4 linked regions of the Alligator mississippiensis genome follow. The protein of the gene in region 2 interacts with the protein of the main gene of each other region in a pairwise test. Links are inferred from orthologs where the notes say so. Each region holds a gene or a part of one and is shown on either strand. Other genes may lie near its edges. The genes, in order: STAC3, SREK1IP1, SDCBP2 and PRR13.

The links.
Region 1: the proteins of SREK1IP1 (region 2) and STAC3 interact in binary tests that used the Homo sapiens proteins (3 or more experiments, as listed by UniProt). The two-hybrid records come from large-scale screens. The link is inferred for Alligator mississippiensis from reciprocal best matches to the Homo sapiens genes SREK1IP1 and STAC3.
Region 3: the proteins of SREK1IP1 (region 2) and SDCBP2 interact in binary tests that used the Homo sapiens proteins (3 or more experiments, as listed by UniProt). The two-hybrid records come from large-scale screens. The link is inferred for Alligator mississippiensis from reciprocal best matches to the Homo sapiens genes SREK1IP1 and SDCBP2.
Region 4: the proteins of SREK1IP1 (region 2) and PRR13 interact in binary tests that used the Homo sapiens proteins (3 or more experiments, as listed by UniProt). The link is inferred for Alligator mississippiensis from reciprocal best matches to the Homo sapiens genes SREK1IP1 and PRR13.

Annotation. Positions count from the first base shown.
Region 1 is NC_081838.1:7,291,121-7,298,428, forward strand, and holds the start of STAC3 (SH3 and cysteine-rich domain-containing protein 3), read right to left. Parts: upstream 3,071-7,308; 5' UTR 2,976-3,070; coding exon 2,776-2,975; exon of another isoform or gene 2,368-2,775; coding exon 2,307-2,367; intron 1,940-2,306; coding exon 1,678-1,939; intron 939-1,677; coding exon 841-938; intron 714-840; coding exon 638-713; intron 544-637; coding exon 446-543; intron 1-445. Other genes in the region: R3HDM2 (R3H domain-containing protein 2), read right to left, coding at 4,124-4,470, 5,185-5,269, 5,481-5,581, 6,181-6,325, 6,420-6,592, 6,762-6,862, 7,132-7,286. UniProt on the Homo sapiens protein: Required for normal excitation-contraction coupling in skeletal muscle and for normal muscle contraction in response to membrane depolarization. Required for normal Ca(2+) release from the sarcplasmic reticulum, which ultimately leads to muscle contraction.
Region 2 is NC_081826.1:261,518,622-261,525,832, reverse strand, and holds the start of SREK1IP1 (protein SREK1IP1), read right to left. Parts: upstream 3,015-7,211; 5' UTR 2,781-3,014; coding exon 2,768-2,780; intron 1-2,767. Other genes in the region: spliceosome-associated protein CWC27 homolog, read left to right, coding at 3,109-3,150. UniProt on the Homo sapiens protein: Possible splicing regulator involved in the control of cellular survival.
Region 3 is NC_081832.1:2,012,117-2,019,985, reverse strand, and holds the start of SDCBP2 (syntenin-2), read left to right. Parts: upstream 1-4,660; 5' UTR 4,661-5,168; intron 5,169-7,735; 5' UTR 7,736-7,744; coding exon 7,745-7,798; intron 7,799-7,869. Other genes in the region: peptidyl-prolyl cis-trans isomerase FKBP1A, read left to right, coding at 983-1,111.
Region 4 is NC_081838.1:8,755,094-8,761,222, reverse strand, and holds PRR13 (proline-rich protein 13), read left to right. Parts: upstream 1-4,036; 5' UTR 4,037-4,224; coding exon 4,225-4,243; intron 4,244-4,346; coding exon 4,347-4,747; intron 4,748-5,003; coding exon 5,004-5,042; 3' UTR 5,043-5,619; downstream 5,620-6,129. Other genes in the region: AMHR2 (anti-Muellerian hormone type-2 receptor), read left to right, coding at 404-518, 667-827, 1,635-1,782, 2,220-2,356, 2,452-2,580. UniProt on the Homo sapiens protein: Negatively regulates TSP1 expression at the level of transcription. This down-regulation was shown to reduce taxane-induced apoptosis.

The sequences.
Region 1 (7,308 bases), on a different chromosome or scaffold from region 2:
GATTGGGGGCACTGAGGCTGAGCAGAGGATTGTGGGTAAGGGGAATGTGGCCCCATGGCTGCCCCAGGGGACTGTGGCTCATGGGAGGTGGCCTCGTGGCTGCCCCAGGGCATTGTGGGTAAGGGGAATAGGGCCCTGTGGCTGCCCCAGGGGACGGTGGGTAAGGGGGGGTGGCCCCGTGGCTGCCCCAGGGGACAGTGGGTAAGGGGAGGTGGCCCCGTGGCTGCCCCAGGGGATTCTGGGTACTGGCGAGGCAGCTCTGGGCAGCTGGTTCCTGGGGCCTCTCAGACTTGGGGGGAGGCCCTGCCCCAGCCTACTCCCAGGCTGGAGTTTCCCACAATGCCCTGGGGGTCAGTGGAGGGCCCATCACAACAGCGCGATGCCTTGGGGAGATGGATGTCCCCCCACCCCCCAGTGCCCCAGCACCCCCCAAATGCCCCCTCACGTTCTTCTTCTCCTCTTGGCCCTTCTTGCGCTCCTTGTTGGCCATGATGACGCCTGTGCGCAGGGTCTCGAACACGGGGTCACTCCGGTTGGTGGCGGCTGTGGGGGGGGGGATGCCCCAGGGGGGCATTGAGCATGGTGGGGCAGGGCCTGGGGAGTCCCCGAGCGCCCCCGGGGGGGGGCAGGTACTCACAGAGCAGCTCCTTGACGCAGGCGTACTGCTGGTCGCTGTACAGGGGCGAGCTGTAGGCCCGCCGGAAGCCGGGCGGCTGCGGGGGAATAGGGGTTAGGGGCCAGCCCGGACACCTGGGTTCTGCCCCCGGCCCTGCAAGGTGGTGGCCCTGGCAGGCCGGGGCAGCACCCGGACGCCTGGGCTATGCGGGGTCCCGCACTCACGATCTTGCCGAAGCAGCGCTGCATCTTGGTGTAGGACTGGCAGTGCTGGTGGATGCTGGTCTTGCAGTTCTTGCACCGCAGCCCAAACTTGTTGTTCACTGTGAGGAGGGGACGGCTCAGCCCCAGCCCTGCAGCCCCTGGCACCCTGCAGCCCCCCACAGTCCCCCAGCCCCAGCCCCAGCCCCTGGCTCCCCAGCCCTGGTCCCCCAGCACCCAGCCACTGGTCCCCAGTGCCCTGCGGCCCCCCAGGCCCAGCCCCCGGTACCCTATGGCCCCCCAGGCCCAGGTCATGGCCCCCGCAGCCTCCCAGCCCCAGCATCTGTTCCCTGGTGCCCTGCGGCCCCTCACGGTCCCCCAGCCCCTGGTCCCTGGTGCCCTGCACCCCCCAGATCCTGGTCCCCTGCAGCCCCTGCAACCCCCACCCCAGCCCTGAGCCCCCTTCTGCCAGCACCCCCGGACACCCAGCCAGAGCAGAGGATTGTGGGCAGGGCCGAGTGGCCCCGTGGTTGCCCCAGGGGATTCTGGGCAGGGCCGAGTGGCCCCGTGGTTGCCCCAGGGGATTCTGGGTAGGGCTGAGTGGCCCCATGGTTTCCCCAGGGGATTGTGGACAGGGCTGAGTGGCCCCGTAGTTGCCCCAGGGGATTGTGGGCAGGGCCGAGTGGCCCCGTGGTTGCCCCAGGGGATTCTGGGTGGGGCCGAGTGGCCCCGTGGTTGCCCCAGGGGATTCTGGGTAGGGCTGAGTGGCCCCATGGTTTCCCCAGGGGATTGTGGACAGGGCCGAGTGGCCCCGTAGTTGCCCCAGGGGATTGTGGGTAGGGGAAGGAGGTCCCCACTCACGGACAATCATGCGGGCACAGACGTCGCAGAACTTGGGCTTCTTGAAGTAATGCTCCTTGAACTTGTGGGGCTTGTCATTGACGGGCGGCGGTAGCTCCGGGGGCGGCTCGGGCTCCTCCTCCTCCTCTTCCTCCTCCTCGTAGATGTAGTAGAGGGGCCCCCCCGAGGGGCTCACCAGGGCCCCGTTCTCGGGCTGCGGCTCGGGCGTCTCAGGCGGCGGCTCCGGGGCCTTGCGCTGGAAGAGGTGCCGGAGCCGCTGGATCTGGGGGAGATGGGGCTCAGCAGGGAAACTGAGGCACAGAAGATGGGGGGAGTGTCCTGGGCCGCATGGCAGTGATGGAGGCAGGGGTGGAACCCAGGAGACCCCACAGCCCTTCCCCAGCTGGGCACGGAAACCAGCTCCCACTGCCCTAAAGCACCAGGCGCTCCCCCTCGTCCAGGCCGGGGTACAACCCAGGCATCCAGGCTCCAAGCCCTCCGGCCCACTCGGCCCCCTGGGGAGATGCTGGCTGCTAGGAAGACACAAATAACACTCTCCCAGGGCCCTTCAAGTGGGGGGGGGGGAGCAGTGGCAAGGCCCTGCCCTGCCCCACTAGGGCTGCCCAGGACCCCTTGGCCCCAGAACGTACCTGGCCCTCGGCCATCTCTCCCGGTGAGGCCGGTGGCTCCAGTGCTTCCTTCTCCGTCATACTGCCAAGGCAGGGTAGGGGTCACGGCTCTGGCTCCCTTGCTCTTGTGCCCCCCACTCCCAAGATCTACCTGGCCCCCCAGTCCCAGTCCCACTGTTCGGGGGCTGCGGGTCAGAAGTGCGGGGCATGGCTGGGGCTGGGGGGCAGGAGAGGCACTGCCAGGGCTGCAGGGGCTCCCCCCTCTGGGGGATAGTGTCACTGCCCCCCCCCTGCAATGTGCCCACCTTTGGGTCTCCCCGCCAGCTCTCCCAGACGCTTGTACAAGGAAAGCGCCAGAGCTGGCCCCCCCCATGGGCCTCTCCCACCCCCAGGGACAGACAGCAGACCCCTGGGGCCCCCGCAGCTCTCGTAAGGCCGAGGGGGGTGACGGGGAGGGGTGCAGGGGCTCTGGGGTGCAGGGGGCACTCACACTGTGGCCGGGCTGGGCAGGGGCCTCTCACTCCAGCTCCAGGCGGTGCCCGCGGATGGGCCAGGACAGCTGCGCCCGCATGACAGCGAAACCCGAGCTGGGCGGGGGCTGGCCACGCTCATGGGGGCCAGGGCACAGCTTGGGGGACTGCCCCATGGGGGGGGGGGCACAGCCAGGGCCCAGCCCATGACATATGTCATCTTGGGGGGGGGGGGTCATGAGATCATAACCCCATGGATGGGGGTCACACCCCCTTGCCCTCCTTGCATGGGGGGAGGGGGGCAGGGTGTCAAACCCAGTTCTCCTCTCCACCCCCCACAGTGTAACCATGCCCCTTGCAGATGGGGTCAAAGGCCAGGGGTCAGACTCGGAGACCGCCTTGGTGACAGACGATTTTTTTTTCTTTTTATATTTAAAAATCAAAAAATCCCCCCGCCCCCCCCCAATAATAATAATAAACCCATTAAATAAAATGTACAGTGACCAACCCAGTGCGGCCACGCGGCGCCCGACAGAGCAACGGACATGGGGCTGGGGGCATCAGGGCCAGCCCAGGGGTGGTGGCGGTGGTGGTGGGGAGAGGGTATCTGGGCTGGGGTGGAGGGTCCAGGCCAGGCTGGGAGAGTCTGGGGGCTTTGGGAGGAGGGGCGTCTGGACCAGGGTTGTAGGGTCAGGACCTGGCTGTGACGGGCTCAAAGAAAGGCGAGGGGCTGGGGTCCTGGCTATGGCCTGGAGGCTGCATGGACAGGCCAGGGTGGGATGTGTGTCCAGACTGAGCCTGGGGGTGGGGATCACAGCTGTGTGTGGGGTTGGGTTCAGGCCAGGCCAGGGGATTCGGGGGGGGGGGGGGAGATCTGGGAGCTGTAAGCTGAGGTGTTTATGGGGGTCCAGGCCAGGCTGTGGGGGTCTGTGGGGGCAAGGGTCCCAGGCCAGGCTAGGGGTGGTTTGGGAGATCCATGCCAGGCCAGGGGGTCTGTTGGGGGGTGGTGGTTCAGACCAGACCAGGCTTGGGGGTGTCCAGGAGCTGTGGGAGATCAACCAGGACACAGGGGATGTGGGGAGGTTCAGACCAAGCCAGGCTGGGGGGTTCCAGCCCAGGCTAGGGGGGGGTCTGTGGGGGGTCCAGGCTGGGTCAAGGGGGAACCAGGCCAGGCCAGGGGGGTTATGGGGGTCCGGGCGAGGACCTCTCACTCCAAAATCAAAGGGCAGTGGCAGGAACAAATCACTGTCTCCTCTTCATCGCGTCCATATAAATATCTCCAGAAAGAAACGGGGTGAACGAAAGCAGAGGCGCGCGGGGAGGCTCCGGGGGCCAAAGTCCAGCGCAGCCCCCAGCCCGGCAGGGGCCCTACTGGGAGCTGGCGCGCTCCAGCACGCGCAGGTCGTAGTGGCGCTTGGCACCACGTAGGCGGAAGCGGCTGAGCGGCGTGTTGAGGCGCAGTGAGGCGTTCTGGGCGGCCAGGGGGCTGGGGAACACGGCCACCACCGTGTAGAGCGCCGCCAGGTCGGGGTGCCGCCCGTTCTCAGGCCCCACGCGCCCGTCCCCGGCCCCCGCGCCTGCCCCGCGCCGGCCCCGCGTCTCCTTCAGCCACTGGATCTTGGCGCCCGCCATAGCCAGCTGCGTGAAGAGCTTGTCGGCCTCGCTGCGCGTGATGCCCTCGGGCAGGTCCGTCACCTCCAGCACACGGCCCGGCACTGTGGGGACACGGGTGTCAGCCAGGGGGGCCACGGGGGGCCCATCCCCGGCCCTGAGGGGATCTAGGAGCCCAGACGCCTGGGTTCTCCCCCGGCGCAGTGGGCGAGGCCTGGGCACGGCGGTGATTTTGTGACGGCTGTGGCTGGGGACAAATCCCAGCAGAGCCCGTGCCAGCCACCCCCACCTGTGGCCCCGGCTGGCCCCGGACCCGGCCAGCTGAATTCCTTGCTAATATTAACCCGGGCGCAGCAAACTCCCCCTCCTGGCTCCAGTTTCATTGGGGGGGGGGGGAGCAGGGGGCGGAGAGAGCAAGAGGCTCCACCATGGCGCTGCAACGTGGCCCGCAGCTGTCCTGCAGGACAGGGGTGTCATGGATGGTCCCAATAGCAAGCACTGAGCCAGCTCCTAGGGTGAAGCCAGCCAGGAGAGAACGCAGGCATCCTGGCTCCCAGCCCCCGACCATGCCCTGCCCCCTACCCAAGCTGGAAGCAAGGACAGTGGGGGAGGGGGTGGCATTCCCTGCCCATGCATTAGGGTTCAGCTGTGGCAGAAGCTGCCCCATGCGCAGCTTTGTGGGCAGGGAAACTGAGGCACAGAGCAGGAGAGGGACAGGCCAAGATACCCTGGCTAGGCAGGGAGGGAAAAGGAGTCCAGGTACCAGCCTCTACACCCCGTGCCCCTCCCAGACATACCCCGGGGGGGGGATCACTTGCCTACATCGCTGGTCCCGAGGTCAGTGGATGCGGACTTGAGGGCCTGCCTCTTGCCCCTGTTCCCGTGCTTCATTCCTGTCTGGCTCTTCAAGAGTTAAAAGAGGTGTTCCCTAAGATGCTGCCCCCTACTCCCTTGCCAACTTGCCCCCCACCCCCATGCTAGCCAGGGTGGCAGGGCTCAGTCCCCCCTTCCCCAGAGCTCCTGAGGGGGCAGTGGTGACCCCAAGCTCCCCCCCATCCCTCAAGATGCCCCCTCCCATGGTAGGAGCTACCCCTTGCCCGCCCAGCGCCCGTACCTGGTGCGAGGTGTAGCTGGGCTGGCTGTGCAGCAGCGGGGGGGGGCACAGCGCCAGGTTGTACTGCAGAGGCTGCCCCAGCAGCGAGTAGCGCCCGTCGCCTGCCCGGTGGGAGCAGAGATTGGTGGGGGTCCCTGTCAGCTCCCCACCACAGGAGCAGCCTGTGCTTCCCACCCCAGGGGGCTCCAGACTCCGCCCCCTGGCACTGACCAGCCAATAGCCCCACCTCATGGGGCTGGAGACTCCACCCCTTGGCACAGAGCAGCCAATGGCCCTACCCCATGGGGCTCCAGACTCCGTCCCCGGTACTGACCAGCTAATGCCCCTGCCCCATGGAGCTCCAGACCCCACCCCTTGGCACTGAACAGCCGATGGCCCCACCCCAGGGGGCTCCAGACTCCACCCCCTGGCACTGACCAGCCAATGCCCCTGCCCCATGGAGCTCCAGACCCCACCCCTTGGCACTGAACAGCCAATGGCCCCACCCCATGGGGCTCCAGACTCCACCCCCTAGCACTGACCAGCCAATGCCCCTGCCCCATGGGGTTCCAAACTCTGCCACCTGCAGAGACTGACCAATGGTCTGGCCCATTGGGCTCCAAGCCCCACCTCCTGCAGAGACTAGGGGCTCCCTCCTTGTCCCAGAGCCCCTGGGCCTGCACGGGGGCAGCTGCCCCACAGCTCCTGCCCCTGCCCCTACCTTGTGCTGGGCCCACGGGCCGGGGGAACTGGGCGAGGACGGGGAGGGGGCTCAGCCCCGGGCAGACGCTGCTGAGGCTGGTGACAGGCGACGGCGTCGGGGACTGGGTGGGGGATGTGATGGGGCTGCTCAGCTGGGTGCTGGCCTGGGGGGGGGCGGGGGGGGGGGAGTGGGTCAGGGCCCAGGGCTTCCCCACAGAAGGGATGCGTTGGGCCCAGCCCCCCCGCTCCCCCTTGTACCTGAGCGCTGGTGTCGGGGCTGTATAGCTCTCCGGGCTTCTGTGCCCGCTGATCCAGGCCGTAGTACTTGCAGTGACTCCACTGCACCACGGGCGGGTTCTGGGGGGGCTGGGGGCCGTTGGGCACATTGAGTTGCATGACGACCACGCCGGGCCCCGACGCCGACACCCCTGCTGGGAGGACATTGGGGGGGGGGGGGGGGTGAGATAGGGGCTGGTGCAACGTGGCCCCAACTCCCCTGGCCTGGCAATGGCTCAGCTGCGGGGGGCATCACTATCTGGCCCCTGCTTGAGGCAGGGGCAGCAGAGGGACCCCCGGGGTGCAATGAGGTGGGCTCGCTACCTGAATACTGCTGCTGCATCTGCGGTGGGCTGCAGGGCGATGGGGACTGGGGCAGCTGGTACTGCTCGGAGCCGGGCGGCTGCAGGAACCCAACAGACGAGCTGCAAAGAAGGGGGTGGATGGTGATGGAGCAGGGGACAACACCAGCCAACTCCCCCACCCCCCACAAGGACCCGCAGCACCTTCAGCTCATGCATCCTCGAGATAGGAATGCGGCTGCTTCTGGGGAGAGAGCTGAAGGGCTCCTGTGTGAGCCCCCATTGCACAGATCCCCTGGTCACAGGCAAGACCCCGCCCCAGGTCCTCCCAGCCCAGCAGGGCCACACTGGCTGACTAACCCCACCACAGCCTCAGCTAGCCTGTCCCATACCTGGTCCCGTTCTGCTGGGCCGTGGGGATGACGCTGTAGTAGACAGGCAGCCCCCCGGCCTGCAGCCCCCCCTGCACCGACTGGCTGGCAGGCACCAGCACCTGCTGCTGGAACGGCTGCTGCACCACGCCCTGCGCCTCTGAGCCCACTGGCACCTGTTGGTGGGGGGTGGAGACC
Region 2 (7,211 bases):
TCCATGTTTTTCCGTGGTTAAAATTAAACACCACTCACACTCTCTCTCTATATATATATATAGGTGAGAGAGAGAGAGAGAGAGAGAGAATCAGTTGAACACAATGTTTTACATTTACAATGTAAAAGCAATTTGGAAGCCTACCAGTGCCTCAATCACTATAATAAATAAATTCTAAATACCTATAAATTTTGGCACTTGATTTTGGGTTTTTTTATCATGGAAAAATCAGAGCTCCCCCTGCCTCCTTTGCTCACCAGGATGCAAGTCCAGCTGTGGCTGTTCCCCACACTGCTTTGAGGCGTGGAGCTGCACTGACATGCCAGTGTCCTGCCCATGCCATTGCCCCTCCCTCCCAAGCCACAGTCGCACCAACCCTGCCGGTGTCACTCACTCCCAACCTACAGCCCCCTGCCTGCACCCAGTCCTGCCAGAGGGGGTCCCCGGCTGCTAGGGCTACAGGGACAGGAACCCGGATCTGCAGTTACCTTCCCTCCCCCAGCAGCACCCAAGCCCCAGCTGCCACCTGTGGAGCACAGCTGGAGTGGAGCCTGTGGTGGGGGCAGATGCAGGATGCCTGCTGTAGGCTTGGGGCTCTCTGCCCTGCTGCCCTTCCCCCACGGTCCAGCAGGTGGGACCCCACACAGCAAGGCAGAGTGGGGTGGGGAGGCTTGGTGTCACAGCTGGGAGCCTCGCATTGCCATGATGAGGTGCCTCCTGTCCCAGCCCCCCAGATGCAGCACCAAGCCTCCCTGCCCTACTCTGCCGCGCCAGGTCCCACCTGCTGAGACGCAGAGGCCACAGGGGAAGGGCAGCAAGAAGCCCACATCCACTTCTGCCCTGCGCACAAATCTGGAGGACATGTGGGCAGCAGTGGAAAGCCAGGCCCCTTGCTGCCCGCCAAATGAACCGCCTGCAGCTCCATCCCACTCTCTGCCCAAACTCTGTGCCCACACATTTCGGTCCCAGGCCCCATCCTAGCTGGGCAGCAACTCCAGCCCCACTCCTTCCTCCCTCACTAGGGGAGCCTCAATCCCTCCCTCCTTCCACCCAGGCTTATCCCCCTGTCATGGCAATAAAGCGCTTTAAGTGGTGAAAAAAAATAACTTTTATACACACCCCTTGGTTCCATTCCAGCAGGTAGCCCATGCATAGAGCTTTATAATTGTCCTGCTGCTTTGAGCTAACACACCTTGTCCACTAGCTCACACAGACATATAACCCAGTCTTCTGGGATTCAAACCCTGCAAACAATTCAATTCAGGGTGCTGTCATGTTAGATATGGCCACTAGAAAAAGGAATATATAAGGCCAGCAAAGCCCAAACCAATTATAAAAGGCTGCTGAAAGTTTAAATTTTCTGTATGAGTTTTTACTGAACTCGGGATTACTCTGCATCGTGATTGTGGCCAATACTTCCACTCAGCAGCAATTTCACTGATGGCAGAACGAGCTTGATTTGTTATGAAGCAATAAACTCCTCTTCCTTGTTGTGGTGGAGAGGCTTGCGTGCCCTGATGATCCTGAGAATGATGCTGTCTGGACAGCCTTTTTGGTAGGGTATCCTATGGCATTAAGGTCAAAGGTGAGGTTTCAGACAAATAGCGACCCAACCCCAATAACTAGGGCAGGTGGAACTCTTTACCCCTGGTCTGGGAACCTACCTAGGAGAAGGATACTCCAAAACTAAACCTACAGCCTGGAGATCTCTCTACAGCTGTCCTAGTTCACCAGGCACATGAGTTTCAGGCCTAAAGAGCGGGGCCAGTCAGTACAAACTGTACTCCACTTTAAAGCTCCACACACAGGCAGGAAGAAAACAAGTCGCCCAATAAACTAGCATGGAAACATTTTTAAAACCACAGCATATCCCTTACAAAGCCCTGCTTGGCAATTAAAACTTCTTTCCTTGACGGGTGGGGTATTCTGTAGATCTGGGAAAATTTGCTTTCTGAAAGTGACTTACAGTTCACTTTGTGAATGTTTTTGATGCTGTTGCCTGACTGCTTAACTGAGCTGAAACATCACCAGAAAATAATCTAGAGTGCATACTACGCCCGTTGGTCATCTAGTCCAACCCCTGCCTGACAGGCAGGATCCTCCCTACCCAAACCATCCTGTACAAACCCACATCTAAACTGTGCATGCACAAGCCTGAGCTCAACCCTGACACACCACGGCCCTCACACCCTCACCTACCCCAGGCAGAGCAGGGGACGCAGCAACCCATGTCTGGCTGCTGTACAAGGGGGTCAGCGTACGCTCAGGAGACCCTGGGAGAGGGCCAGGCCGGGCAGAGGAAGGCAATGCCCCACTTCGGGTTGCCAACTTTGTTTGAATCTATTCCAGGAGGTTTCCTCACGTGATGTAGTGACATTAATGATCAGTCTACTGTACTGCACTCAGGAAGGCAAATGCATATTACTATTACATTAAAAAAAAAAAAACCCCATGGGCCTAAACTGGATGCAACATTTAATGTTTATTTTAAAGAACGCCCTATTACTTGTCTCCCGGGTGACTCTCAGCAGTCTCCTGGAGATTGTATCCAATTCCTGGAGGCTCCCGGGCGATCCTGGAGGGTTGGCAACCCTACGCCCCACAGGTGGGGACAACTCCCCGCACCCTGCGCGGAGGGGGAGTCCCCGCATCCAGGAGCCTGGGCTGCGACCTGGCCCCGGTTGCGGGCAGGGCGCTCCCAGCCCGGCCGGGGGACTAGGACACGGGGAAGGGGCCGCCACCCGCTGCCCACAAACAAGGTGCCCACCTGGCAGCGCCATCCTCCTCCTCCGCCTGCTCGGGCCGCGTTGTTCCGGGCCGGGGCTGAGCGCGACGCGCCGTGGGCCGCACCACTCGCCCAGGCGGGGGGGGGGGAAAGGGAGGCGCGGGGGCGGCCCGAGGGGAGCAGCTGCGAGGCCTAGGAGTGCGAGATGGGGGTAGCGCGCCGCCCTACCCAGGCGGCCTGCGACCCCATCACAACCGCATTATCCCCCGCGCCCCCCGCCCCCCGCAGCTGAGTGGTACGGCCCAACATGGCGGGCGACGCGCGGAGCTAGGCGGGCCCGTGGGGGAAGGGGCGCGGCGCGGCCGGATCGCGGCGGGGGCAGCATGAGTAACATCTACATCCAGGAGCCGCCTACGCACGGCAAGGTGCGGCCGGGGCCGGGGCCGGGGCCGGGGCCGGGGGCGAAGAGCAGCGGGGAATGGCCGTGTCGTTCTTCTCGAGGGCGGCTGCGCCACTCTGGGGAAACGAGGAGCCGGGGCCGGATCCGTCCCGTGGGCGCTGTCGTCCGGGATACCCGGTCCCTGCTTCCACATCCCCGTGCGGGCCCAGTCCTGCGGTGTGCTGGGCCGGGGCCGGGGCACAGGGCTGGTCCCAGGCTGGGGTGAGGCCTGGGCCCGGCTACTCCGCGTGGGACCGACGGGGTGGGCGGCTCTGTTTGAAGCTGAGGTTTCATCACGTGATGCAGTGCATTAATGACTGCTCTGCTGTACCGCGCTCAGGAAGGCAAATGTACCATTGCATTTTAAAAACTCACTGGACTACTGTATACATTAGATTCACCATTTAATATTTATTTTAATGAATGCTGTATTATTTATCTCCCAGGTGACTCTTAGCAGTCTCCTGGAGATGTATATCTGACTCCTGGAGACTGCAGGGCAATCCCGGAGGGTTGGCCACTCTAGGGTCCGAACGTGGGAGGCCAGAAGGTGGGTGCCTTGCACGGAGATGGGCAGTGGCTAGCACAGGATATGCAGTCACATGAGATGCTGCGAACCATCTGTCAGGTCATCAGCCCTGGGGCATGCATACCCCTAGGGGTACTTAGAGAGGTCATAGAGGATACTCACGGGCAGGCAAGGACGGAGCGCGCCCCAGGGCACAGCAGGGGCATCCCCTCCAGCGCGCTCCCACATGTTCCCTCTTACCTGAGGGACCGGGTGGCCCCACGCACACTGCAGCACCTCACCCCAGCGCAGTCTCCTGATTGGCTGCTACCCTCAGCCAATAGCTGATGGCAGGAAAGTGCTGCGGACACCTCCTGCCTGCAGAGCTGCAAGGCACAAAGGGCCTGAATGGCGGGGGTGTGGGGAAGTGTGTTTCTGTGCCTGCTCCCAGGGGCAGGGCTGGGGCGGGAGGGCGAGGGCAGCAGCGCCTCTGATGATGGATGTGCGCAGGGCTGTCCTTTGGGTAGGGCAAATCAGGGGCGACCGCCCCAGGCCTCATGCTTGGGGGGGGCCCCGCAGAGCTGGGCAGAATGGCCACAGCCCCTCCCATGGGGCCCGCCTGGAGCTGGCAGCTCAGCCCCACGCCGCAGAAGAAGTATCTAGCTGCTTGCCACCCCGCTATCCTCCCGCAGCACGTCACCAGCTTTGCATCTGCTGAAGAGCGGCTTGTCGGGGCACATGAGATCTGCTTGGCCCCTGGGCACCAAATTTCATTGCCTTTGTGGGGGTCCCATGACCCCATGCCATGTTAAAGGGGCCCCACACAGGCTGATTTGCCCTGGGCCCTGCATCCCCTAGGGTTGGCTCGATGTGGGGCGGGGGCACTTGCATGCGGTGGCCACCACCCCATGCCGCCACCTCCCAGGAGCAGGTCCAGAGAGGGCAAGGGCAGCAGTGCACATCTGCGGGCCGCACAGGTGCAGCCTGGCTGGCCGGACGCAGGGGATGGGGGAGCTCACACACCACTGCCACCCACCACCACACGCCACTGCTATGCGCAGCTTTTCTATGGATGTGTGGCTCCATGGGGTGCTGACAGGCGGTGCACGATTGGCCGGGCGCAAGGCCTATCAGCAGCCCTCAGAGCCACATGTCCGACTGGCTGTGGGAGAGCGGGGCACAGTGGCAACACGGGGTGGTGGGTAGTGGCAGCAGCCTCCACATGCGAGCCCAGCCCTCCCCCGCCCCATTTCTAGCCGCTGCCACCAGAAGGGGTGCACTAGTTAAAAAAGTTTGAAAAAAACCTCAGATCTATGTCATAGGCTGCAATATCTACCATCTGTCATAGACGGAAAGATGCCAAAAGAAAAGAAGTAGAGGATGTTGATAAAAAGCATGGATTTGCAACATTTTGCCATTACAAGCTTCTGCTGGCAACCCAGCTCTCTGCTGTGACCCACAAATCTGTGTTTGCTGGTGATCAGCAGGTGCTACGGAGGGAATATGGAACAGGGCAGGGGTTACAAGCCTGTGGATGCCTCCACTGCTGCCGTAGCACAAGTGTAATGTCAGTGCCCTGAGCCATAGGTTGCCAACCCCTTGTATAATGAGATAAAATGATGCACACAAGTGTCACATGCCAAGTCACCAATGATAAATTCTTATCACATGCTTTAATTCAGAGCTATATCTTGTGTATCAGCACCACTTTGAGGGGAGAAAAGTCGACAGCCAGTATGTTATGGCTGCTGTTGCTGCTGCAAATCCAAACCGATCTTCCACTTCTGCCTCTGCATTTCTCAGATTGGAGAAGGAAAATATTTTTTCATTCAAACTATGGTGTGATTTGATCAGAGACTTCATCTGCAAATGTTCAGTTGCAGTATATTTTGCATGTTAAAAATACATGTACTTGTTCTGAGGTCCTGTTTAGAGTCTTGGATTTAAGGTAAAAGAGGAAAACAGCAAGGAGGATGGTCCTGGTGGGTATCTACAATAGCTAAGGTATATGTCCTGTTTTGGCCAGGACAGTCCCCAATTTCATGGGCTGTCCCTGCCAGTTGCCTAAAATAGAAGCAGAAGTCTAGGATTAGAGGCAGCACCCTGCCTACACATACCTGGTGCTGTTCCTCCTGAGCAGTTTCTGGAGGCTGCAGGGGTGCGCTGAGCATGGTATCTGACCTGACCCTCCTGCCTAGTGTGGGGATGGGCTGAGGTGAGGCGGGGGCTCAGGAACAGCACCAGGGAAGGGGGCTGGGGCTCAGGAACATGTATAAGGTAAACCGGCATGGCCACCAGCAGCCTCATGTTCTGCTGCTGCCAAGGTCTGGGCTTCATGTGGCGGCCCCAGGTGGCTGACAGTGGCTGGGGGAAGGCGCTGTGTGGCTACATAGCGCAAGCTGGCAGAGCTTGAGGGGCACCACACAGGAGCCTCTCCCAGCTGGGTTCAGCCTCTGCGCATGGAGGAACAGAGCCTGAACCTGGGCCTCCGCACTGTCCCACCCCACCCTGCTCGAACCTCGGCTCTGGGTGGGGGAAGGGGTGCATGCGTGCAGGTCTGGGGTATGTACATGTATGTGACCCCCCCCCCCATCCCAGTTTTCCTTCAAAATAATGGGGTCACCCTGACAATAGCCCACCAAATTAGTAGGAGAGGATGGGTAAGGCCTTTTCAAAACTGGTTAAATTAAATATCTAAATCATATGACGTGTGTGTTCATGAGGGACTTTTCCTAGAACTTCCCATAATAAGTAAGGTATCATGGCAGTGCACATACATTCCAGCAAGTTCTTAGACTGTGTTGGGGGCAACTTTATGGTACAGATGGTGGCAAAACCAACTAGAGGAGGATCTTCTCAATTTATTCCTTAATGATGGGGAGGAATTGGTTGAGAATCTGAAGGTGGAAGACAGTGAACTCTTTATCAAGTCATGAGAACTAGCATACAGAAAGAAGGATGGGAAAACAATAAAATAAAGACATTGGGCTAAAGGCAAACAGCTTTTAACAGATTCGGAGAACTGATCAATACTATGCCATAGGAGGCAAGTCTATGGGGAAAAAAGTAAATCAGAAGGATTTATTATTTCTTGAAGATACACTATTAAGGGCATGAGCATGCTATCTTCATAGGAAGCAAGGCCTCTGCTTGGCTAAATATTGAGCTCTTCAATTTCTTCAGAGTTCAAAAAGGAATCTTACAAAAACAGAAACATGGCTACAAGGGAACACAAAGGGATTGTGGAAGTATGTTGGAAGAGGAAGGATAAGAAAAGTGTCGATTCCTTCCTGAACAGAGACTAGAAGCCAATATTGCATGATGCAGAAATGCCTAAAGTATTTAAGGGGTGTACTTGGTAGCCGTGTTGGTCTGAGACAAAAAGACATACAAAAAATGAGAACTCTTGGTTCCAAAATGATAGCTTTTATTAGACCAACTGGAAAATGGCAAGAAAATTGTCCTTTTCTGCTAGCTTTCAAGATTAAGGTCCCTTCGTAAGGCTCTTGGAAAAGTTGTAGATGGTACAAGATGGTAAA
Region 3 (7,869 bases), on a different chromosome or scaffold from region 2:
GGTGCCGCGCTGCGCTGGGCTCTTGCGGGCCGGGTGCTGATCTCTCCGAGAAAAGAGGCTTGCGGTCTCCGGTGCCCGTGCTGCGTGGCTGGGGGGGGGCTGGGACCTGCACTGCGGTTCCTGTCCCCTCCCTGCCACGTGCCAGCGTCCTGCAGATGTGAGGAGCCTGGCACCAGTTCACAGGGTCTGTAGTTGTCATATGGGAAGGTGGGCTGAGTCTTGGGGCTGCGGTGCCCTGGCTGGGAGCATTGCTCCTTGCCAGGGTCCTGGGCACGCTGCTGCTGAGGGAGGAGGTGCCCGCTTGGGCTGAGGCAGAGGGGTCTTGGCACGGATCTCTTAGCTGGGCTACAGGGCAGCAGTCCCCAGTGCCACCCCTTTTCCCGAGTCCTTGGCAAGAAGAAGGTGGCACCTGGGTGCGTGAGAACACACCCATGTCTGCAGGGACAGCCTGGGACAAGGTGCAGCATGGCAAGGGTTGCACTAGGGAGCATTTACTGCTAATTAACTAGCTGTTAATTATCCCTAATCGCACATACCTGAGGCAGGAGTGGAGACTTGGAAAACCCCGCTGTGTGGCCAGCTGGTCACTCCCAGGGACGGGCTGCCCTGCGTCTGGGGGGACAGCCGCTTCCTCCAGCATCTCCTGCAGCTCGGCCGTCTGTCGCGTCCCCGGCCGGCGCTGCGGTGGTTCTCTGTCTGGTGTTTGCTTGCACTACTGTCAAGCTTTGTGGGCACGGGCCCTGCTGTGCTCAGCGTGGTGCCCAAAGCACCTGCCCCAGAGGGCGTGTGGGCTGAGCGTGGCCTGGCGCAGCAGGGCAGGCTGTGCCAGCTGCGTGCTGCAGCATTGCCCCGAAGCCCGGCTCTGCACGGCGCCGGAGGCTTCTCCGCAAGGCAGGTTTGAGCCAGCGGGCACAGCCGGGCTCAGACTGGCGTGCCGTGTCCCCGCGCTGCCTCCGCCAGCTGTGCTCTGTGTCTCCCGCAGATGAGCGTGGGCCAGCGAGCGAAGATGACCATCTCTCCGGACTACGCCTACGGCTCCACCGGCCACCCCGGCATCATCCCGCCCAACGCCACCCTAATCTTCGACGTGGAGCTTATGAAATTGGAATGACAGGAGGCGCCCAGCCCCCGCTCCCTGTCCTTGGGTAGGTGGGGGGCTCTGGGGCAGGGTCCTGGGAGGCAGGTGTCAGGTCCCGGGTGCGGGGCAATTGGGCTGAGACTCGAGATGCAAGGGGGGTGATGGCAACGATGCACCCTGCGGATCCGGCTGCAGCCAGCCCCTCGTGCTGAGCAGGTGGGGCGTCGCGTCCCTCCGTAAGGGGCAGGCCGCTGGCACCCCATTGCCAGCTGTCCGCAGGTGGCATCGGCTCAGCACCATCTTTCCCCCCTCCCTCCTCCTTCTCTCCCAGGTTTGGCACATGGAGGAATCCAGAATCTCAGCTTCAAGAAGAATGCACATGACTTTGTACGGAGCTTTTCCTGATATTCCACTACACTCGTTGTATAACCCTGTACCTTGATTGAATGTGTTTGGTCACTCAGCTTTGCCTCTGACTCTTCCTCCTTGTATTGTGTTTTTATGTCTTTTAAACTATACGCCGTAAACCTCAACTTTTAGGGGTTTTTCTTCTGGTTTTGTTTTTTTTGTTTCCCCCCCCCCCCCCTTTTGGGCGAGCTCTTCATCTGGTTGTGTTGCCGGCTTTAGTGCGCCCTGGGGCGACCTGTGCTAGGGATCGTTGGAGCGAAGGAAATGTCGGGAGCTGGTTTTGTTCTGTTTTTTTTTTTGGATGCAGATATCTGTTGTGTATGACAAAGAGATTGCCGCTGCCGTTGCAAAAGCCATAGCAGAGCGAGGAGCTGTCAAGGGCTGACTGACTCTGGGGAGCAAAGGGGTCCTTGGCTGGCGGTGTTACTTCCCTGCCTGGGACTGAGACACGGGAACAAGTAGCTTCCTGCTCCCTTCCCGGCAGGGTGGTGCCACCACGCCAGCACTTCCCCCTTGGCGGTGCCCAGAGCGGGCAGTATCCTGCCCCCTTTGCTGCCTGCTGCCTTTACCAGCATGTGGTTGTTTTCCTCCCCCCGCTTCCTCCTCCTGGATTTTGAGGGTCTCTTTTCCTTTCGCCATCCGTGCTCCACCACTACATAGGCTGCAGCATCGCAAGGGGCCTTTTGTACGTGGACGGAAGGGGCTGTTTCCTGGGGGGGCACCGATAGGAACGAGCCCGCGGCGGAAAGCTGGCGCCCCCGCCGTCGCCGGGATGACGAGACCCCAGCGCTCCCGCGCCAAACCTGATGCTGGTCATCACCGCGTGCCGCGGCCTCCCGTTCGGTGCACGGCTCCACCTCCGCTGGCGTCACTTCGGCTCCCTTCCCTTCCCTCTGCCCCGCGTCGTGATTTGGTAAGAGGAATGGCTGCCATCGCTTCCTCCTCCACCGCCACATCAGAGTATTGAGTTTTATGATTGCAATAAAAGTGCTTTATGCTGGCTTTTCTCAACGCTGCCTCTCGCAGGTTTGTCACTCGCCTCTCTGCTGCTGTGCCCTTGGCGCGCTGCCCGGGGCTGCCAGTCTGGGCACCGGCTCTTGCGGCCTGCGGGCTTCTGGAGGGGGCAGCTTGCCTGGTCTCCCTTAGCAAGAGTCTGGATTCGTCCCAGTTGTGCTGGGAGACTGCCTGTCCCTCCAGCTGTCATTGCACTGCCCTAAACCTCTTAAAAAGCTCATCTTTCAGAACGCCGTCTGCATCTCCTCCGCCGCGGCAGCAGGTAACCAGCACCCGATGCCTGGGCAGAAACTTCCCCCGGCCGGGCGTATTGCAGGGGCCTGGCCACACTGCTTGCTTTGGGAGAGCTGGGCAGGGAGCGAGGCTCTCCCCAGCTCTGCCTGCATCCTCCGCGCTGTCTCCCTGCGTGGGTCAGCAGGGCCGCAGGGGGACCAGGGAGCTTGATATTTTTCATGCGTGTGGAGCTGGGCTGGGGCCCGGGTTTGCTCTGCAAGGGGAGCTGATCGTGCAGGAGGGCGGCTGAGGTTACGTCTGGGCTCGGGGGAAAGCGGGTCTGGGAAACAAGCTGGTCAGCCTGGTCTCCTCCTGCCAAGGGATGTGCAGCGATGGTGAGCCTGCTGCTGGCCTGTGGGGCAGTGCATGTGCCCAGGTCTCGTGCTCCCCCCACCCCACCTGCCACGGCTTTGATGCCCACAAGACCGGCTCGCATCCGAGGGGCTTTTTGTTCCGGCTTTAAAATGCTGCGTGAGTCATCGCTTGCTGCCTGCGGCTCCCCCAGCCCTCGCTAGGCACGGGTGTGGGTGGCACCGCGGCGAGCGCCTGTCAGGTTTACTCCCGGCCACTGCTGCACGTGTGGGAGCGGAGGGGACAGGCGGGGGGGGGGGCGTTTGCTCCCCAAAAGATCCCACCTTCGGCCAGTGGCAGTCGGCCGCAGCACCTGTGCCGTGTCTTGGGTGGGAGCAGCATTGCAGGTGCCTGGGGTCGGCTCCTACCCCCTGCCCACCTGGAAGCGCTGCCTTGGAGCGCTTTGCCATGAAGTCTCTGTGCTGCTGCCCTTGCCCCTGGCACCCCGCTCTGCTGCTGGCTCAGGATCCCAGACGGCGCTGCGGAGGCGGCCGGGCAGGGCCTGCGTGCTCAGCGTCAGGTGTGACGATTGCTAAGGTGCCCTCTGCTTTGGCAACGCCATCAACAGGGAAATACCGAGCGCTCGGGCAACGGCTGGCGGGGCTGCAGGTTGCATTCTGCACAGGTGAGCTCACCTGGATGCCGGCACCAGGGGCGGGCTCATCGACAGCTCCCTCAGCCAATGAGACCGGGGGGAGGTGTTGCACCCTGGGTGTTGTTGGCATGCAGAGATCCTCAGGTGGGTGCCTGCCACCGGGCAACTCCTCCCAGGTGCTTTCCCCCAAGGACCCACCTCCTGCCCCAGCCAGCGCTGCCCCAGAGACGCAGCCGGGCTTCCCCGGGGCTTGGCCCCAGGCAGCAGGCAAGGGCCGTTCCTCCCGCGTCATCTCTCTCGGCCTCCGCCGCAGAGTTTTGCAATCGGAGCAACCGGTTTCTCCGCTCCCAGCTCCGGGGCAGAGGTGGGGCTGCTGGTAGTTTCGGGAGGGGGAGGCGGGTCTGGACTGCGTCCAGCTCCGCGCGGAGCGGTTGAGGATACTGGGCACCGGTGCACGATGCTCCGGGATGGGGGTAACCCTGTCGGGGGAGCATCCGCACCGGGGCCTCGCCTGCAGCTGGAGCCCGGGCGCCTTCTGCGCGCGGTGCCATGGGCCTTGCCTGCCGCAGAGGGCGAAGGTCACTCGGTTGCCAGTTTCGGGAGCTCTGCTTCCTCTTCCTCCTCCTGCCCTATTGCCCGCACTCCTGTCCTGCCCTGGCGTCGCAGCGGGCACGGCCGCGTGCCCGGGGGCCGGTGACGGGGGTGGAGGGGCCTGAGCAGCTCCGCGCGACGGGGCTTCGTGCACCTGCTCGGACCCGTGCCCTGGCTGCAGCATTGCTCAGTGGTTAGAGCATCCACCAAAGCGTCAGGCATGCAGGGCCTAGGCTTGCTGCTGACTCAGGCGTCCCTGAGTCACTGTCCCCGCGGCTCTGACGTGGGCGTGCTTCCCACGCCGTGCGCGTGTCGCATGCGTGGAGGAGGCCGGTGCCATGGCAACGGCAAGCATCACAGCTGAGCCGCCGGGACGGCACGTCCCCGCCGAGGGGAGCGTGACATCACTGTGCGCTGGGTGCAGAAGCGCCCGCCGGCCGTGGCAGGAGCCTGTCGAGCACCGGGGCTGGCGGGGGCTCGTGCTTCCCTCTGCAGCCAGCTCGGGCACCGGCGGGGGGAGAAGGGCAGCAGGACCCGGCTGCAGCACTGGAGACCTGGCAGGGGGCTGCAGGGAGCAGCAACAGCCCTTGCAAATAGATCCTCTGGATCAGACCCGCTCCGTGCCCCCAAGCAGAGCGCCTGGTGCACCCCTGGCTCGGGGCACGTCCTAGGCCCCCTCGCCAGGCCGCGCTCCCTCTGTCACCTGTCACCTGCTTGCCTCCTGCATTCCCGGCCGGTGACTGCCAGTCAGCTGATGGAGACGGGCCCCTCCCAGGCTGCCAGCCCTGCTGGTATAAAGCCAGTGGGCTTTGACCCGGGCTGGCAGAGCGTCCCGGGGAAGGGAAGCCTGTTTGCAAGGTGAGCAGCGTGCTTGGGGGTTGCTGTTTGCAGCCCGGGCACAAGGAGCGTGTCACCCGTGGGTGGGCGCTGCGGGCCGGGGGTGCTGAGCAGTGCCGGGAGCTGGGCTTGCCGTGCCTTGCTCCGTGCCTCGCCCGAAACCACAGCCCGCGACGGGGAGGCTGGGGCTTGTTTTGCTCCGACTAGCCCGGGCTGACATCAGGCCGGGCCTTGGACGGCCCCGGGCCGCAGGGGAGGCTCTGGGGAAGGGCGAACCCACAGACGAAGGCTCGTCCCATGCCTGCAAGGATGGCGCTTTCTGTTTTGTGGGCTCTGGAGGTGCCAAAAGCCAAGGTCCCTCCCAGCATCCTTGTGCCCTTGGGGCAGGGGGCTGCAAAGAGGACGGAGCTGGGCTGTGCTCGGTGGGGGCAGATACAGGACAAGGAGCAATGGGCTCAGGTTGGATATTAGGAGAAACTCTCATGAGGAGGGTCACTGGAGGGGTTACGCAGAGCGGTGGTGCAGTCTCCATCCTCGGAGGTGTTTAAGACCTTGGCAGACAAAGCCCTGGCTGGGATGATGGAGTTGGGGCTGGTCCTGCTTGGAGCAGGGGTTGGACTAGATGTGACCCCCGAGGTCCCTGCCAACCCCCCTCCATGAGTCTGCGATCGGTCGTGGCCTGCGCCTGCGTACGGCGGTGGAGCCTGGCCCAGGTGCCCCAGACGGACCCGAGGGAAGCGGAGGAGCCATGGGGAGGGGAGGAGGCATCTCCCCTCCGCAGCCCGGGTGGCTTTGCCTGCAGAGCGGGCTGCAGGGTCAGGTCCGCAGCTCCCCAGGCCGAGCTCAGCACCCTGCCCCGGCTGCTGGAGTAGCCCCCAGCCCGCGGCGCTGCCACGTCTCTGAGTTGTCCGACCGGGACGTGCCATGCCACCGCGCTGTGAACGGGGCAGCGTCGCGGCGTGTCCCCCTGTCACACCGTGGTTTGAGTGAGGGTGTCACCTGGGACGCTCCGCTTCCTGCTCTGCCACAGGGGCCCTGTGGGGCCCTGGTCATGTCACTTAGCTGCTCTCAAGTTCCCGGCTGTAACTGCCCCGCTCTGCTGCCCTAGCGAGATGTTGCCAGCCACGCTGGGCTCGGACCTCGTGGCCTTCAAGGGAGCCACTGCCAAGCACCCAAGGTAGCTGGGCCTGGCTGCAACCTCCCCACCCGCTCCACAGGATGAATCTCCAAGCACGTGGCCTGTCTGCAGCTCGGTGCTGGCACGGTCACTCCGACTAGAGGGTGCAAAGCCTGCGGGTGTGGGGTCTGCAGTCCCTGCAATGTGGGCACACGGGCAGATCTGTGCCTAGAGCGTGTGCTGTGATGGGGGCTGAGCGTGGTGCCCGCCGTGGGCCTGCCGTGTGGCGGGTGCAAGGCAGGGGAGGGGGCTGCCTGGCTGCGCGGGGTCCAGGCTCCCTCCCCGGCGTGCGGACCCTGGTGCCCAGAGGTTACAGACACTCGGGCTTGAGCGGGTGCTTTCCCGGCCCGGGAGCCCCACAGCTGCGGGGAGCAGGCCCGGCACCTGGGCTTAGCCGGTGACAGGGGCACAGAGGCTGCCGTTCATGGAGCACTCATGCCAGCCAGTGCCAGGGGTGGGGCATGGGTCGTGGCCCCGGGGCTGGGTGCCAGCCCGGCTCGGGGAACAATGCACTGCCTGCGGCATCGGCCGAGGCTGCGGGGCACGGCCGGGGGGCCTGTCCTGGGTAGGAGCCTGTGCCGGGACTAGGGGCACCCTGCAGTGCCACGCCGGGCTGAGTCACGCTGCGCCAAGCCACGGGCGTGCACGGCATCACCGGCACCCAACACCTGCGCAGCAAGGCCAGCAGCCGCGCAGGGCACGGCGCAGCACGGAGCCCGAGTCACCTTGGGAGCGGCACGTGGGGAGCGTGTGCGTGCGTGCGTGTGTGTGCATGTGTGAGAGCAAGAGCTAGATGCATGTCTGCGAGAGATCTGTGGGTGCTGTGAGAGACGTGTGTGTCGGTGTGCGAGATGAGACGTGTGTGCGCATGCATGTGAGAGCGATGTGTATGTGTGTGAGAGGCGTGTGTGAGGGAGAGAGCTGTGTTGTGTGAGACGTGTGGGATGGAGATGTATGTGAGAGACGTGCATGTGTGTGTGACAGATATGAGAGGTGTGTGTGAGAGATCAGAGTGTGTGCAAGAGAGTGGTGTGTATGAGAGCTGTGCGTGTGTGACGACTGGGTGTGAGGAGGCAGAGCCGCAGAGTGGCTAACCCCCGTGGCATGCAGGCTCTGTGCTCGGGCGTGTAAAACAGCCTCTGTGGGGCGTGCCAGCCCCCCGGGGGCTCGGTGCCCAATGCCCACCCCCCAGCAGAGCCCAGCCCCCTCCCACGCACCCCTGGAAAGCCGCTGTGGCTGGAATACATGCGTGTGCACACACCAGCCCCAGGTCCAGACATGTGCAGACCCCCACCCCTTCCACCCAGATGCACACCTGCAGGCGTGCACGCACACAGACGTGTCTGCCCGCCACCCCCCCCCCCAGCTCGGGAGCAGGACCCTCACGTCTCCCTGCCGTCCCCCTTTGCAGGAGGCAGCCATGGCCACGCTGTACCCCTCGCTGGAGGACATGAAGGTGGATCAGACCTTGCAGGTAGGTGCCTCGTGCCCAGGGAGGGCTGGTGGGGCCGCGCGGGGCCCCTGCCTGTTTGCAGCCAGCGCAGA
Region 4 (6,129 bases), on a different chromosome or scaffold from region 2:
GGGGGCCAGGCTGCATAGCAGGGGGCTGGAGGCCTCTAGGCACCTGGGAGCCAGGACACCTGGCTTGGAGGGGACAGGGCCTCATGGCCAGAGCAGGAGGCTTGAAGCCAGGACACCTGGGTTCTCATCCCATCTAGGGTGGGAGCAGAGGCAGTGGTTAGAGCATGGGCTTTGATGCTGGGACTCCTGGGTTCCTCCTTCAGCACACGGAAGGTGGGGGGAGCAGGGGTGTCTCCGGGTGGGGGGCTCTGTCGGACCTGAGAGCTTCGTATGGGGCAGACAGGGCGGGCGAGCAGGCAGGGGGGAAGTGACAGAGAACAGAGGGGGGTCCCAGGCCCTGCCAGTCCCTGGAGGCTAGGAGCAAGAGGGGTCCATCCACCCCCGTCCATCTGTCCATCCGCAGGGCTCCCTGCGGTACTTCCTGGGTCAACATGCCAGCCCCTGGGAGGGCACCGTGCGCCTGGCGCTGTCGCTGGCCTGCGGCCTGGCCTTCCTCCATGATGAGCTGTGGCGCGATGGTGAGACCCCCTCCACCTGCCTGCCCAGCCCCCATGCACCGAGCTTGGCTGACCTGGGGGGTCTCTGCCATGCCCCCCTTCCCCTGGGTGGGGGACTTCTGGCACCCCACTCACCACCCCCCCCCCCCCATTCCCCTGCACGCCCCAGGGTTATACAAGCCAAGCGTGGCCCACCGGGACCTGAGCAGCCAGAATGTGCTGGTGCGGGACGACGGGGCCTGCACCATCGCCGACTTTGGGCTGGCTATAGTGCTGCCCACCAGCCCCGAGGCCTGGCCCAGGGACCGCTCGCCCACCGCCATCAGGAAGGTACCGGGGCTGGCAGAGGGGCCGGGGGGGTGGGACAGGGAGGAGCCCACGTGCAAGCCATAGCACTAGTGCGTGCAAGCTGTGATCCAGAGCTGCAAACATGGGCACCAGTGGGTGCAAATCTCAGCCCAGGCATGTGCACACATGGATACTTGCATGTGCCAGCCTCACAGCCGGGGTAGAGCTGCATGTGAGTCCTGGCCCCAGGATGCACCAGAAGTGACCCCTGGTGCGTATGAGCCTTGTTACTGGGGTGTGCCAGGCTGGTACTTGTGTGTGCAACTTTCAACCCAGCCATGTCCAAATGTGGGCATGCCATGTGTGTGGGGCTGGGCATGTGCATGGGTAAGTGGCTGAGACGTGTGGGTCTGTATTCTTGAGCATGTGGCTAGTGTGTGTGCGCGTACTTGTGTGTGCATGTGCTCATGAGTGTGTGTACTCACTTGTGCATGTGCTCATGTATGCATGTGCTCGCAAGTGCCTGGGATGTGCATGTGTTCACGAGAGCCTGACACGTGCGTGTGCTCATATCTGCATGTGCTCATGAGAGCCTGGCATGTCCATGCACTTACATGTGTACACGCTCATGAGAGCCTGACGCATGTGTGTGTGCACTCACGTGCACATGTGCTCACGAGAACCTGCGTGTGTGCATGACAGCCCGTATGTGCATGATCTCACATGCGTGCGCACTCACAAGAGACTGGCATGCCCAGACACTTATATACACACATCCCGGCACTTACAAGTGTATGTGCTCATGAGAGCCCAGTGCATGTGTGCGCTCATGCGCGCGTGCTCCGGCAGCTGGGGACACAGCGATACATGGCCCCCGAGATCCTGGACGAGAGCCTGGACCTGCGGCGCTGGGGCTGCGCGCTGAAGCAGGCCGACGTCTATGCGTTTGCCCTGGTGCTCTGGGAGATCCTCATGCGCTGCCCTGCGCTCTTCCCAGGTGAGGGCCCCGGGTTCAAGCCTCCAATTTGCACCGGGGCACAGGCCCCAGAGGAAACTGGGGACACCAGGGGAAACTGAGGCAGGTGGGGACAGGCACCAGGGGAACAGCACCCAGACTCACCCCTTGCCCCCCCAGCCCGGGGGGTGCAGTCAGGACCAGTGGGGGTGGGGGGCACAGGACAGTGAGACTGCGGGGGGGGAGGGGGAGGAGCCCCTGAGTTGGGAGCAGGGGGCATTGCCCAGCCTGGGGGTCATCTAGGGCTGGGCAGCCCCAGGGCTGCTTTACATAGCATCGTGCCCCCCCACTCCCCGAGCACCTAGGCCATGCCCGTAATGAAGTGGACTGTGACATTAGCAGATCTCAGGGGGTACGTACAGTGCCCAGGGTGGGGCTGGTGGGAGAATCGGCTCCTTCCCTTGGCTGTGCCCCCCCAGGCTGCAGCGTCCCTGAGTTTCGGCTGGCCTACGAGGCGGAGCTGGGCAGCAGCCCCAGCCCCATGGCGCTGCGGAGGCTGGCGGTGGAGCAGCAGCGGAGGCCAGCCATCCCCCAGGCCTGGATGGGCACCAGAGGGGTAAGGGGAACAAGGGGGGGGGTACAGGGGCTACACCCCCCCATTGCAAGGTTGAGACCCAGGGAGGCCCCTGATGCCCCCCTCTCCTCTGCCAGGTCCCCGGCTGCCTGCAGGAGCTGCTGGAGGACTGCTGGGACCCCGACCCCGAGGCCCGGCTGACGGCCAAGTGCGCCCACCAGCGCCTGCAGCAGCTGGGGCCGGAGCCTCCCTTAGGGGGGCCCTGAGCCAGCCGGGCGCGGTTCCTTATTTCCAGTTCCCTTTTCACTGCTCATCCTTGCCACCTTGAGGACGGCGGCAATGACCGGAGCAAGCTGAAGGCTCCGGGTTTCATCCCCGACGCGCCTTTGCTAATAAAAGTGTGTGATCAAGTCACCCAGCGAGTGCCCCAGCTTGAATGAAGGGCTGAGACTGCCCCCGGGCCCCAGCACCCGGGTTGGAGCCCCCCGAGTGGGCACCTGCAGAGACCCAGTGGCCCCAGCGCTGTCGGGAGCAATGAATTCATTGGTGCTCAGATGAGCCGGGCAGGGCCTGGTGTTGCCCCCTGCGCCCCCCAGGCCTGGCAGGGGAAACTGCCAGGGCCCCCAAGGGAAGCTGAGGCAGGCGGGAGCAGAGACCGGGGAAACTGAGGCAGGCAGTGTGGACCCCGGGGGGAAACTGAGGCAGGTGGGGGCAGACACCAGGGGAAACTGAGGCAGGCGGGGGGGACACCAGGGGAAACTGAGGCAGGCAGCGGCGGATACCGGGGAAAAAGGCAGGCAGGGGAGGACCCCAGGGGAAACTGGGGCAGGCGGGGGAGGACCCCAGGGGAAACTGAGGCAGGCGGGGGGGACACCAGGGGAAACAGGCAGGCGGGGGAGGACCCCAGGGGAAACTGGGGCAGGCGGGGGAGGACCCCAGGGGAAACAGGCAGGCGGGGGGGACACCAGGGGAAACTGGGGCAGGCGGGGGAGGACCCCAGGGGAAACTGAGGCAGGCGGGGGCAGATCCCGGGGGAAACAGGCAGGCGGGGGCAGACCCCAGGGGAAACAGGCAGGCAGGGGGGACACCAGGGGAAACTGAGGCAGGCAGCGGCGGATACCAGGGGAAACTGAGGCAGGCGGGGGCAGACCCCAGGGGAAACAGGCAGGCGGGGGAGGACACCAGGGGAAACTGAGGCAGGCGGGGGAGGACACCAGGGGAACCTGAGGCGGGGGGGGCAGACCCTGGGGGAAACAGGCAGGAAGGGGGGACACCAGGGGAAACTGAAGCAGGCAGTGGCGGACACCAGGGGAAGCTGAGGCAGGCGGGGGAGGACACCAGGGGAAACTGAGGCAGGCGGGGGAGGACACCAGGGGAAACTGAGGCAGGCGGGGGGGGGCAACAGGGGAAACTGAGGCAGGCGGGGTGGACACCAGGGGAAACTGAGGCAGGCGGGGGAGGACACCAGGGGAAACTGAGGCAGGCGGGGGGGGGCAACAGGGGAAACTGAGGCAGGCGGGGTGGACACCAGGGGAAACTGAGGCAGGCGGGGGAGGACACCAGGGGAAACTGAGGCAGGCGGTGCGGACTCCGTGGTAAACTGAGGCAGGTGGCGATGGACCCTGGGGGAAACTGAGGCAGGCGGTGCGGAGCCCGGGGACCGGGCAGGCGGGGGCGGCTCCTCGCCGGGGCGCGGCTGACCCCGGGTGTCCGAGCTCCCCCCCCACTAAAGCCCGCACGTCGCGGCGATCCCCCCCGCCCCTGGAGCCGCTCTAACCATTGGACGGCGCTGCCGGAGCGGGGCCGGCGGCTCCTGCCCCTTTAACACCCCGGGGGCGGGCCCTGCGGGGGGGCGGAGGCCGCTCCCTGTCCCGGTGCGGAGGCGACGGCGGTAGCGCTCTGCTGCGGCCATGTGGGACCCCAGCGCAGGTGGGAGGCCGGGCCGGGGCCGGGGCCGGGGCCGGGCGCGGGGCAGCGGGCGGTGGCCCCGATCGCCCCTTGCACGCTCACTGCAGCTCTGCTTCCCTTGCAGGCCAGCCCGGCCCCGCCTACCCCCCCGGATCGGGCCCCGCCTACCCCCCGGGGCCAAACCCGGCTTACCCCCCGGGGCCAAACCCCGCTTACCCCCCGGGATCCATCCCAGCTCCCCCCCTGGGGCCAAATCCCACCTACCCCCAGGGCCCGATGCCCCCCAGCTCCTACCCCATGCCCCCCGGCCCCGGCCAGCCCCCCTACCTGCCAGGCCAGCCAGTGCCTCCCCCCTACCCCGGGGGCCCTTACCCCCCGATGTGCCCCGGGGTGCCGGCGGGGATGGGCATTGTCGCCCCCCTGGTGCCCGGGGCCCCTGCGCTGGATAAGAAGGCGGCGAAGAAGATGAAGAAGAAGATGAAGAAGGCGCACAAGGGGCACAAGCCACACAAGCTGCACGGGAAGGTGAGGGGGGGTCCTGGGGCCAACCCAGCCTGGGATTGACCCCCACGGGGTGGGGGAGCTGCCTCTTCCTAAACGCTGGGTCCAGCCCAGCCGGGCGGTGGGGTGTCTCGTGAACGGAGTTGGAGGGGTCTCAGCCCAGCTGCCGCCAGGGGTTTCTCCCCCCTGCCCCCTTGCATGCCCATGGGAGCGCCCAGGGCACAGTGGGGCCTGGCCTTCCCGCCCATGAGCCTCACGCCCGGGTTCTTCCTCCCCGCAGCGCTCCTCCTCCTCATCCTCCAGCAGCTCCTCCGACTGAGCCCGCCCGCCCGCCGCAGCTTGCCAGGAGATGCAACCTTTGCCCGCCTGCGGAAGCCAAGCCCCTGGATCATCCCACTCCCTGAGGCCCCAGGCCGAGGCCCTGCCGCGCTGGGATCAGGGCTAAAAGCAGGCGCCAGGCACCAGAGCCAGGATCCGGCCGGGATCTGGGGTGATCCACTCAATCCCTGGTGGCCTCAGCAACCTGGGGCCTGCTCACAAGCCAGAAGGAAATCCAGACCCCCCCCTCCCCCAGCCAATCCCTTCCTCCCTGCACTGTGTAGCTTCACCCGATTGGCTGCTTTGATGCTGGGGGAGGGGGGTGTTATGGATTGGCCAAGGGGATCTTTTTAGGGGTCCCAGTGGGGGGAATTGACCAATCCCAGGCTCGCTCTTGTGATCTAGTGCAGCCTGGACGCTGCCTACCTCACGGTCAGGACTGGGCAGGACAAGGCCCTGCCTGGTCCTCAGCCCCAGACCTGCACTGGGGGCGACTGGGTGGGGGCGCGAGCTCCCTCCGGGCTCCGCAGCGCTTGCCTTGCACTCGCCTTTCAATAAAGCCTCTTGGTTTCAACCCCCCCACTGGTATCAGACCCTCTGTGGCGCCGGTGGCTTCCCAGAATCCTTTGTAGCCAGTGTCCAGGGCCGGGGGGGCTCATGGTCAGCGGAGCCCCTGACCCATGGGGTGCACCGGACCCCCGCTGTGGGCTGGGCTGTGTTGTGGGATCAGCACCTCCTGGTGCATGCGACTGTCCTATTCTGGAGCACTGGCTTTGCCTTGAAATCCCCAGCACCTGGAGTCCCGTGAGCCGGGGAAAGGAGCAGATCCAGCCCAACTGAGCTCGGGCTGCAGCAAGGAGGCGGGCAGGTGGTGGGGCCAGACCCAGGTACCCGCAAGGCCAACCTGCCGCTGGTGTAACCCAGGAGGGGCTGTGACCCCGCTGTCAGGTGGGGTTGGGAGGTGCCTGCTCTGCCCACTGCTGGCCCTCACCTGCTAATTTATTTCAGCAGGAACATGCAGCTCTTCTGGGGTGGGGGCTGGCGTTGGCCGCAGAGGCCGGGCTGCAGCCATACCCACTGCACAGGGT